Drosophila melanogaster: one gene and its partner. The protein of the gene in region 2 purifies or fractionates together with the protein of the main gene of each other region. This does not show direct contact. Each region holds a gene or a part of one and is shown on either strand. Other genes may lie near its edges.

Region 1 (4,469 bases), on a different chromosome or scaffold from region 2:
GTGAATTCCAGTTCAGGAATCCTCTCCTGCCTCTCTGCGTTGTGCTCCACTGAGCCGGCTTTGCAACCCCTTTTCTCTGTTTACATTGCATGGAGTAGCCATGGGAACCAAGGCGGCGTCCTAGCCGGCTCCCTTCCAGGCGCTGCTTCACCTTTACCACTCCACCTATCCGACCATCCACCGTCGTGACTCAGCCCCAGTGACATTGCATTTGCATGTGACTGCCGCTAATTGCTGTAATTCCCGCGCTGGACTTCGACTCCAACTTCCAACTTTGCCGGCACATAATTGCACTCTCCTGCTCCGATGTCCTTTCTCCTCCTGTACAGTTCCGTGCCAGGTTTTCCCTGTTCTTGTGGCTTCGTTTGGCTCACATTCAAACTTCAAGTGGTTTTTTGGGACATGCTTTCCTCGGCGTTTTTGCTTTCCTTCCGACACTTTTGACTTACTTTATGGCCCGGTCGATTATGCTCGCCTTATCGGGCTTTAAATGGGTCTGTAGTTCTATAGGGGTGGAATATCCAATCTCCTAATGCGATTTCTTGATTGAAAATACATTTCCTTTCATAATTTAGCACTACATTTTAAGAATATGCCACTGAAAAGAAGTCAACTGATTTAAGAAAGAATTTCTAAATTAAACATTAGGTCATTGCTTTATTATTGTAGCTACAATAAACAAGAACTTAAGGCTTTAAGGATTCATAATCTGTTTGGAGAACAATTCTGTAGCATACAAATTTTTGCTAGTTTAATGACGTGTAACAACATAATTATTTTGATGTGCTCGTTGGTGAATCGTCTGCCTATTAAAAAAAAATCACACTTAAAATAATCTTAAGTAAGAGACTATATTTGATAACGAAAATCCTGTAGATGTTTGGCATGATTGATTGCTATCCTAAGTTAATGACAAAGAGCATTATTTTTGCATCACAAGTACTTGGCATCTTAGCTATCGTATTCTATGGTTTGGCTGCGAATTTCATTCCAACTCAGCTTACAATTAAATGAAATTAACATAAATAACATAGTAAATTGGCTAGGATTACAGTTCGGTGTGCTTGGGCTTGTTGAACAATCTCTCGCACAGTTTGGCCAAAATCTGGGACACCTCCAGTCGGTACTCGTCCGTGCTGTTGGCATACCGATTGCGAACGGTTAATAGTGCATGCCTGAGACCGGAACTTTGCGACCACGTGCTGGTGCACATATCTTCGGTGGTCTCCAATGCGGTGGCAAACTGTTCCACCACCTCCGGTTGCTCTAGGAGGAGCAGGAACTCCTTGGTTAGCACAGTGTCCACCGCCGCGCAGTAGCCCGGCGTTTTCAGCCACGACTCGAAGTCCAAGAGCACATATTGCGCCATTGTGGATGAGGCTTCGGGATCATCTTTGCTGACATCCAGCACTGACCGCTTCTCCAGCACTAGGTCGCTTATGAGAGTCACTACCTTCGCCTTGCTCCGCAGCTCCACATCCGGACTCTGGAGCACCTTGATCAGAGCCTGTGTACCCGAGGTGGAAAGCACTCGCTGCTGGGCTAGCGGAAATTTCCGCAACAAGGCTCCAAAGGCGTGCAATGCAGCGGAGATCTCACCGACATTTCCGGAACTGGTCAGAATCTGAGCCAGATGAGACCCGAAATTCTTTTCGAACACCTTGATCTGGGCCTTGGGATTGTTGCTCGCCAGCGAGCCCAACACACGCATGGCCGACACTCTCAGGGATGTACTGGTATCGTTCACAACAATGGGCAGTAGTACATCATCCAATCCCCCATTATCAATGAACATCAAGGCATTGTCTATCTGATGGAGCAAATACTCCAGATTTTCCAGGCAGTCCAGCTTGGAGCGCATCTCTGACTCTAGCGGCGTTCTGCTGAAGTTCCGAAACTGATCGATTAACTGGACGATCAGTTCTCCGTCGGTGCGAAAGTTCTTCTGGAACTCTTTGTACGCTTTGCGTAGCTCGGCATAGCTCTTCTTCTGCTCCTTGACCCGCCGTATAGACTCCTCGATTATGTCCGGTTTATAGTCCAGAGCCAGGGGTTCGTTGTCATCGTGAGATTCCCGAGCATTCTGATCATCCGGTTGACTCTGCAGCGACGTGCCACGTTCGCTTTCGTCTAAGAGTTTGGCTTCCTTGAGCCCCGTTTGTAGGTTGATGCGCACGTGCAGGCCCCTTGGAATAGCTTGACCTGGAAATATAGAGTGCTCACTTAGTACACGTCATCCGAGAGTTAGCCTGGCTAGCCATTAACCTTCCGCAATCGTCTGCCATTCGTCGGTGGCCACGAAATCGTTGGTTTTGTTATCCGTTTCCGTTGCCGCTGCCACTTGTAAGCATCCCAGGATCAGGACACTGCCCAGAAGGATGACTACCTGCTTGCCACTCATACTGCTTCAGCTTGTCTTGCCTCCAGAATGTATTCAGTCTTTATTTCACCTGGTTTTAAGTAAGTTTCGTGAGAGTTTTTAAATCAGATTTCAGACTTCTGATGTGGATGTGGTTAATAGTATGACCGTAGGGAGCTGCATTGATTATACCGCATGTGGCGATATGTTCCGTGGAGAGCCAGTCGATTCGGAACCAGTCAAAGGCGGTTACAATTCAATTTCAAATTTGAAAATATTTGTAATCAATAAATTCGTTATAAACAATAGAATATATTAAAGTATTGAAAAAGTGTAAACTATATGTATGCTTTATAATCTTTCTTTATATTTATTAGATTGTGCTGTTGGACATTCCAAGCCAAATCTTATATAAATAAGTAATACAAAAATTAAGTAAAAATTTTTATGGTTAATTTTTGCTCTTAGTCCGGAATAGTTGGAAACTTTAAATGATTTCAAACATTATTTCGCTAACAAATTAATTTTTATCCCTAACGAACACAAATATTAATATTTTTAAACCTTAGTTTGTTGTGAAAAACAAGCATTGCTAGAAATTTCCAGACTTGAAATTAATATTTAAGAACCAGAAAAAGTTAATGCCATTCAGAACGATTAAACCACATCAAACCAGAATGCCACCAAAAATTCCCAAACTCATCGTGAATTCATTAAAAATTGAAAAGTAACCGCCATTCATAAGCTTTCCACTTCGTTACAACGTAGCTAAACTAGTTATAAACTAAACGTATTTACTGAGTTTACAAAGAAAAACGAAATCATGTTTACGCGCAGATGAATCAACCAACTCAAAATTGAAATGCCAAATTATTTGCAGGCAAGCCCGACGTAATAAAATAAAAGCGTGTTTGCATATATTACCATATTTCGCCCCCGAAAATCCGTTGTAATCTCGATGTCTACGACAGCGTCTAGGAATTGGCTGCGCAAACACATCAAAGTGGACAAAAGTGAAATATTTGGACTCACCTGGCGCCAATTGGATGGGTAAATAAACAGAATGCCGGTTTCATGCCAATCACACACCAAATATACATATACATATGTATATATGTAGTATATGCTAATTGCTGATGACGAACGCCAGGAGCCTTTAACTAGAATTTGCCAAATTAAATTCACTCGGCCCGTTCCGAACGTCGCCTGTCCAATAGTTTTGAAAGTGAAGCCACCTCGCCGAGCAACTTTTATCCGTCGATCCATCCATTATCGATTATCGATGCCGTTGGAACCTGTTTGATGTCGTCCAAAATGCCCGACTATGTCTAATTGGTTTATGTCGGAATTGAGTTGTGTTGGCCACAAAAAGATTTATCTTCGTACATATGTCCAAAACGGAAATTTCATAGTTGGGAGCCTTGGGATGCATTCTTCCTTCTGGTCGGAATACAATTTCATAACTTAAGTGATTTTTATCGTGGATCCTTAACCATGACCTATTCATTATCATTCCCTTTCAGATTGCCTGGCCATTTAGCACACTTAGGAATTCCCCCAGAGGTAGGTTCCCAATTCCAAGTGCTGATCTCAAAGCAAATATGGGATGAATAATATCATAAGCCAATAAGTACGAATTGATATTTGCACTTTATTAAAAGTGTGAACAAAGCGCGGATTCCATTTCACGGAGTTTGAATCTATAAAAAGTACACAAGATGCCGAAATATAGTGCAAATTATATATGTATAATTAAATTATATATATATATAATGCATTGCAGGATAAGTGGAAATATATTGGTTAATTGCTTGAAAACTGACTGGATTGAGCATTAAAATTTTGAGTTTCGCTGCCTTTTGTGCGCGTTGCCATTGTTATTGTTTATTGTTATTTGTTGCTGCATGCTAATAATATTAATTAATAATAATGCTGCTGCCAATTCTGGTTAGGGGTAGCTGCGATAAAGATAAAGACTGCGATGTCTATGATGATGAGGAGAATCCATAACACGAAGCGAAAGAGATATACACATACGAATAAATAAAAAAAAAATATAAATAAAAATAGCCAGCAATCAGACAGACAACAACAACAGCAGCAGCAGCAA
Region 2 (4,777 bases):
GTACTCCTCAGTCTTCACAATATGAACTCACACCTAAGTCAGGGACTTACAGTGGCCACCACTTTATTGCCCCAAATACTGAGTTACGGCATTGGCGGGCAGATGGTGATCAATATGGACATGCTCGCACAGAAGTTCGGCGGAAAATTCGTTGAGCATATCGGCAATCTGGCTAGCTTTACGGACGTTTTGGAGGCCATGGCCAGATACTTCAGCGATCAGGCTGTACAGCTTCTAATGCAGATGACCCGCACATTCGTAGAGGAGAACGTGGATTACATTGATCGCTCGCTGAATACGTTCGTATCAACTGAAGCGGTCCTCTATCGCATTCTAATGCATTGCGTTAAAACCTTTGATGACTTCGGCGAAGATTTCCTTCAGAGACAACGTGAGGATATTTTGATGGTGGTATCCAAGTACTTTCGATCACTGGAGCCAGTTGGCGAACAAAACTGCCGCAAGTACAAATGCAACGTTTGCAAAGGCGCCTACTATATTAGTTCCATATAAGCTGATTCCATGGTTCGAGCTGTCGGTTTATTAAGTGATTTAGTGATTAATAGATTGTGATACAACAAAGATTTGTTAGCCATCGTGACTCATTTGTACTAGGATTGTAATAATCTTTTAAGCCTTTATATGCGTCTTCTAAACCTAATATGCTGTTAAATTCTCTGAATGTTTGTTTAGTTTTAACTGTCCACCAATTTTTATAAAAAACACTTTAATTCCGATCAGTTGCCGTATTCGATTGTTTATTCAAAATCGATCTAAGTGTATAAATACTGTAAATGGATCTGTGTCCCTGGGAGTGGGCACAAATAAGGTACTCTATAAGAGTGAGCGCGACTTGTAGAATGTACATGAATAGCCTAACTATAACTATGGACGGATTCAGAAGATTCTGACCAGATGGCACCGACTTGGAGCGTGGGGCATGGAGCATGACACTGGAGCTCTCTTAGCAGAAGAACTCCTCCTCGCACTGGTTTAGACAGCAGTAGGGAATGTTGTTGTAGGACCTGCTCGAGTGATCCCTCTTGAAGCGATGCTTCTTTTCGTGGTGCGGCTTGATGGGCTTGTAGCGCGGAAAGATGTCCAGTTCGCTGAGGCGATTGAAGTGCTCCCGGGTCACCTTCAGGTAGCCACCCATTGGATAGCTGCTTCGGCTGATGTAGTGATGCTTGTTGTGCGTTTTGCCGGCTGAAAAGGGGGAAAACGTTGCCAGTGAGCAAATTGATCTTGAACCTGCGCCTTGAAGTCGGTTAACTTTTGCATCGGAACTGCTTTATGCAAATGCCGTATTAATTGCAATCTACACACTTAAAAAAAAACGTGTTTTCGATATGCAGTTCCGAATGCAATTGTCGGGTTGACTGACACTCTGACCTTATTAGCTCGCTAATCCAATATTTTAATCTTTTCCTTATCGATGTTCAGTGGATATTGTTTAATTGAGATTTTAAAACGTAAGTATTATAGTTGGAAACAAAATTTAAAAATGGTAAAGTCATAACGAAGCATTATAATAATTTGATCTTTAAATTTATCCGAAATATTTTTAAACATTTTTTTTCCTAGTGCCACACTATGCTCTAAAATCTAAGATCTAGATCTAGATACTTACATCCAAGTCGATTCAGATGGTGGTGCGCGAACTCGATGGACCTTCTGTCGCGGCGGGCACCCTCGTCCGCCTGAAAGAGGTGCTCGCACGCCTCCATCGCGAACTTCTTCATCCGCTCCAGGGAGCAGAAGCTGCCCGACGAGCTGCCCATCAGGCAACAGACTCCGATGACCAGCAGCATCCAGCGGCACATATGCAACTGCAATGGAGGAGCGGGCGAAACAACAAGTGAGTATGAGTATATTCCAAATTAAACACCCAACCGGCCTCCGGCTCCTAATTATAAATCGCTGACGTTCAGAATTTATCGCATAAGTGTTACAACGATCCTCTAACCGGCTGCACTCTGCCCTGCTTTGGCATTTCAATGTGAATCTGGATCGCCGCTCTGGACACATCTGGATTAACCACTTCGGATGACGACAGCCGGGTGTCGGGATGCCGGGATGTCTGGATGACGTCGCCGACTCCCACGCACCGGAGTATGCCGCCCATTAACTGGGTCAATATCGCATCAAGATCGAAACATAAACTGGAGCGCATTTGCAAGTCGACGCGGCCAAATGGTGAATTTTAATTGCCGCTTTTAATGACCGAAACTTCCCCGACATTACGGCGATCTGGAGCTGAAGTGGAAATTATGTAATGCGCCCCGCAGGTAGGCATTTCCGCATTTTGCATTTCGCATTTCGTATATCGCACCTTGCGGTGACACTCCAGTCTGTTTAGCACTCCAGTCCGCCATATGAATCCGATTCGGAATCGATGCGGGCATTATGCTCTTGCCCGCGGAGAACAAAAGCGCATTTGTTTATATTGGATATTGATATTTTTAGCTGACAGCCTGTTAATTGCACACACCCACTTTTTTTGTGGCGCGAAGCTAATTTAAGTAATTAAAGTGGAGTGTTCTTAGAAGACAGTTATTTGTTTGGAAAATTTCTGGACTCAATTTGGAAAAGTCCACCTTGTACTGGAAATGTTTAAGTTCAGTACAATGATTTCAAGGAATGCATAATTTGGTGTATGAAATCATTCTGAGAACTGAATGTTTGATGTTTAATGCTTTGGTGCTGAGCAACTAACCAACTATAATGCTAAAGAGCTACACGAATTAGTTATGCTAGTGTAATAGTTAAAAAACAAAAATAAGAGTTTAACTTCAACTCGAACTCACCTTTGAACTCATTTTAGTGGCGTTCTAGGATCACAATTCTCAATAGATCAATAGATCAGTAGGCACGTCGATCACCTTTCTGGCTGCAACACTACGTATACGTGTTTTCTTTTGGCGGGCAAACTTGCTGCAGAGCTAACTTGCTGAATGGTTAACCCGTCCGTCCGATCGACGTTACCTGATAATCACGAGCGGCGAGCGCACAATGAGCTTTCGTTGCCGACGTAGCCAAGCTTTTATACGCGCCTCAAAAATCGAGGATCGGCGCTTCGGATCGGCTCAGTTTGCCGCTCAGACAGCCGCTCTTCACTTTTCAATGGGAATGGGCGATGGGGGTGAGAGAGAGAGAGAGAGAGAGAGCAGATTTCGGGATTTGTAATTCTTCGGTTTCGGTTTCGGGTATGGAGTATGGGGTATGGGTTATGGGGTTCGGTCTCGGCTTTTTGGGGATCGGGATCCGCTCGCAGGAGTTTTGCGTAAGCGGCAGGGCGCGCCGAGCATTCAGAAATATACATTTTTTTTTATCAATGGGCCTCGGAACGGACGTCAGACCAGAAGAGTTGGCATTTATAGTTTCATGGCGCCGCCGTTTCGATCTTAAACGAATTTCAACATAAATGGACTCGGCGGACTCACTGAGTCACAGTCACATGCTGCTGGACTTGCTGCTGCTCTTGATAAAGCCGAGGCGAATACTGTTAGCTGGAACAGTCTAAAAACACTCTTATCAGCGCACCTTGGCAATGTAATAAGGTAGTAATAGCTACTGGTGATTTGACGGCCGATGGTGGCAGTGAAAGTGAAAACTTGGACCTTGTTGCCGGGGCTTTTCCAACCAGGGCAACGCACTTCTTGATAGCCGTGCATGCTTCTCTAATATGATTGCTTATTTATGTGGATCCATAAACAAGTTGAACAGACCCATAAAACCATTCAAATATTGTGTGTAGAATTTGAAGAACTGTAAAATTGAAATTGTTGACTGGCGTTTCCCATTGAAAGTCGAGAAAAACAACAGTGATTAGCTTTAATGCGGTAATCATTTGTTAAATCATACTTTGTACCAGACTCACTCATCATTTAGCATGCTAAAAAATGATCCAAATGCCTTTACCATCTTTTTCAGTGGCAAAGTACTACTGTTTACTATAAGTAAAGAGTCTAGAATGACAGGTTCGTTGAGCAATGGAAAGCTAAGACATTTGAAAGCTTAAGAAATTTTTGCATTGAATAATATTCCAATGGACCTCATGGTGTTTTATTCAACCTGAAATTAAATGATAACATAACATTCTTAAAAAACTGGTTGCAGAAACCAATAAACAGTAAAGTTTAATGTTCATATAGGGGGCATTTCGTTCAAAGTCTAAAAAAATGAATTCATTAAAAAAAAAAAATTGTATTATGTTGTGAATAAAAAATGGAAGGCCAGCGAAATTGTTGTTAAACATTCAGATTTATATAGAAATAATATATAAAGTTACCGCACATTTGCTGATGTACTATGTATTGTATTTCCAAAGGTTTCTATCTCTACGATTGCTGCTTTTCGTATGATAGCAGGGTTCTGTGAAAAAGCGAAAGTGTAGAACTTTCACTGTCGTTTCTGTTCGGCTCTGCCTCTGTCTCTTTCGGTATCGGGCTCGCCCTCTCTTTCGCTCACCCTGTTGCAGCATCATTTGGGGTGGAGCACTTAACGGTTGTTCTGGATCGGGCGTCATCATCGTGCGTTCTTATTTTATCAGATCGTTTGTGTTACGTTCTTTTTCGGATATTTTTAGCCGCTCTCTCGGTCAATGCACACTTTCGGCCGACTTTTTATGGGTTCAGATTGTTACGTTTCTGATTCCGATTCCGATTCGGTTCGGATTTGGTTTCGGTTTCGTTTCCACATTCGTTTTGGTTATGCTGTTTTCTTTTTTTTTGCCACTTGCTTTTCGCTTTCGTTGCATTCCCGCATGCGGAAATGT

The links.
Region 1: the proteins of Ilp8 (region 2) and Sil1 purify together in Drosophila melanogaster (affinity purification with mass spectrometry, with the first as the bait; one study listed by BioGRID). This does not show direct contact.

What each region holds. Positions count from the first base shown.
Region 1 is NT_033777.3:25,232,997-25,237,465, forward strand, and holds Sil1 (Sil1 nucleotide exchange factor), read right to left. Parts: upstream 2,534-4,469; 5' UTR 2,402-2,533; coding exon 2,266-2,401; intron 2,203-2,265; coding exon 1,049-2,202; 3' UTR 640-1,048; downstream 1-639. UniProt on the Drosophila melanogaster protein: Required for protein translocation and folding in the endoplasmic reticulum (ER). Functions as a nucleotide exchange factor for an ER lumenal chaperone of HSP70 family.
Region 2 is NT_037436.4:17,029,079-17,033,855, forward strand, and holds Ilp8 (Insulin-like peptide 8), read right to left. Parts: upstream 3,003-4,777; 5' UTR 2,820-3,002; coding exon 2,808-2,819; intron 1,830-2,807; coding exon 1,631-1,829; intron 1,207-1,630; coding exon 965-1,206; 3' UTR 734-964; downstream 1-733. Other genes in the region: CG7730 (uncharacterized protein), read left to right, coding at 1-513.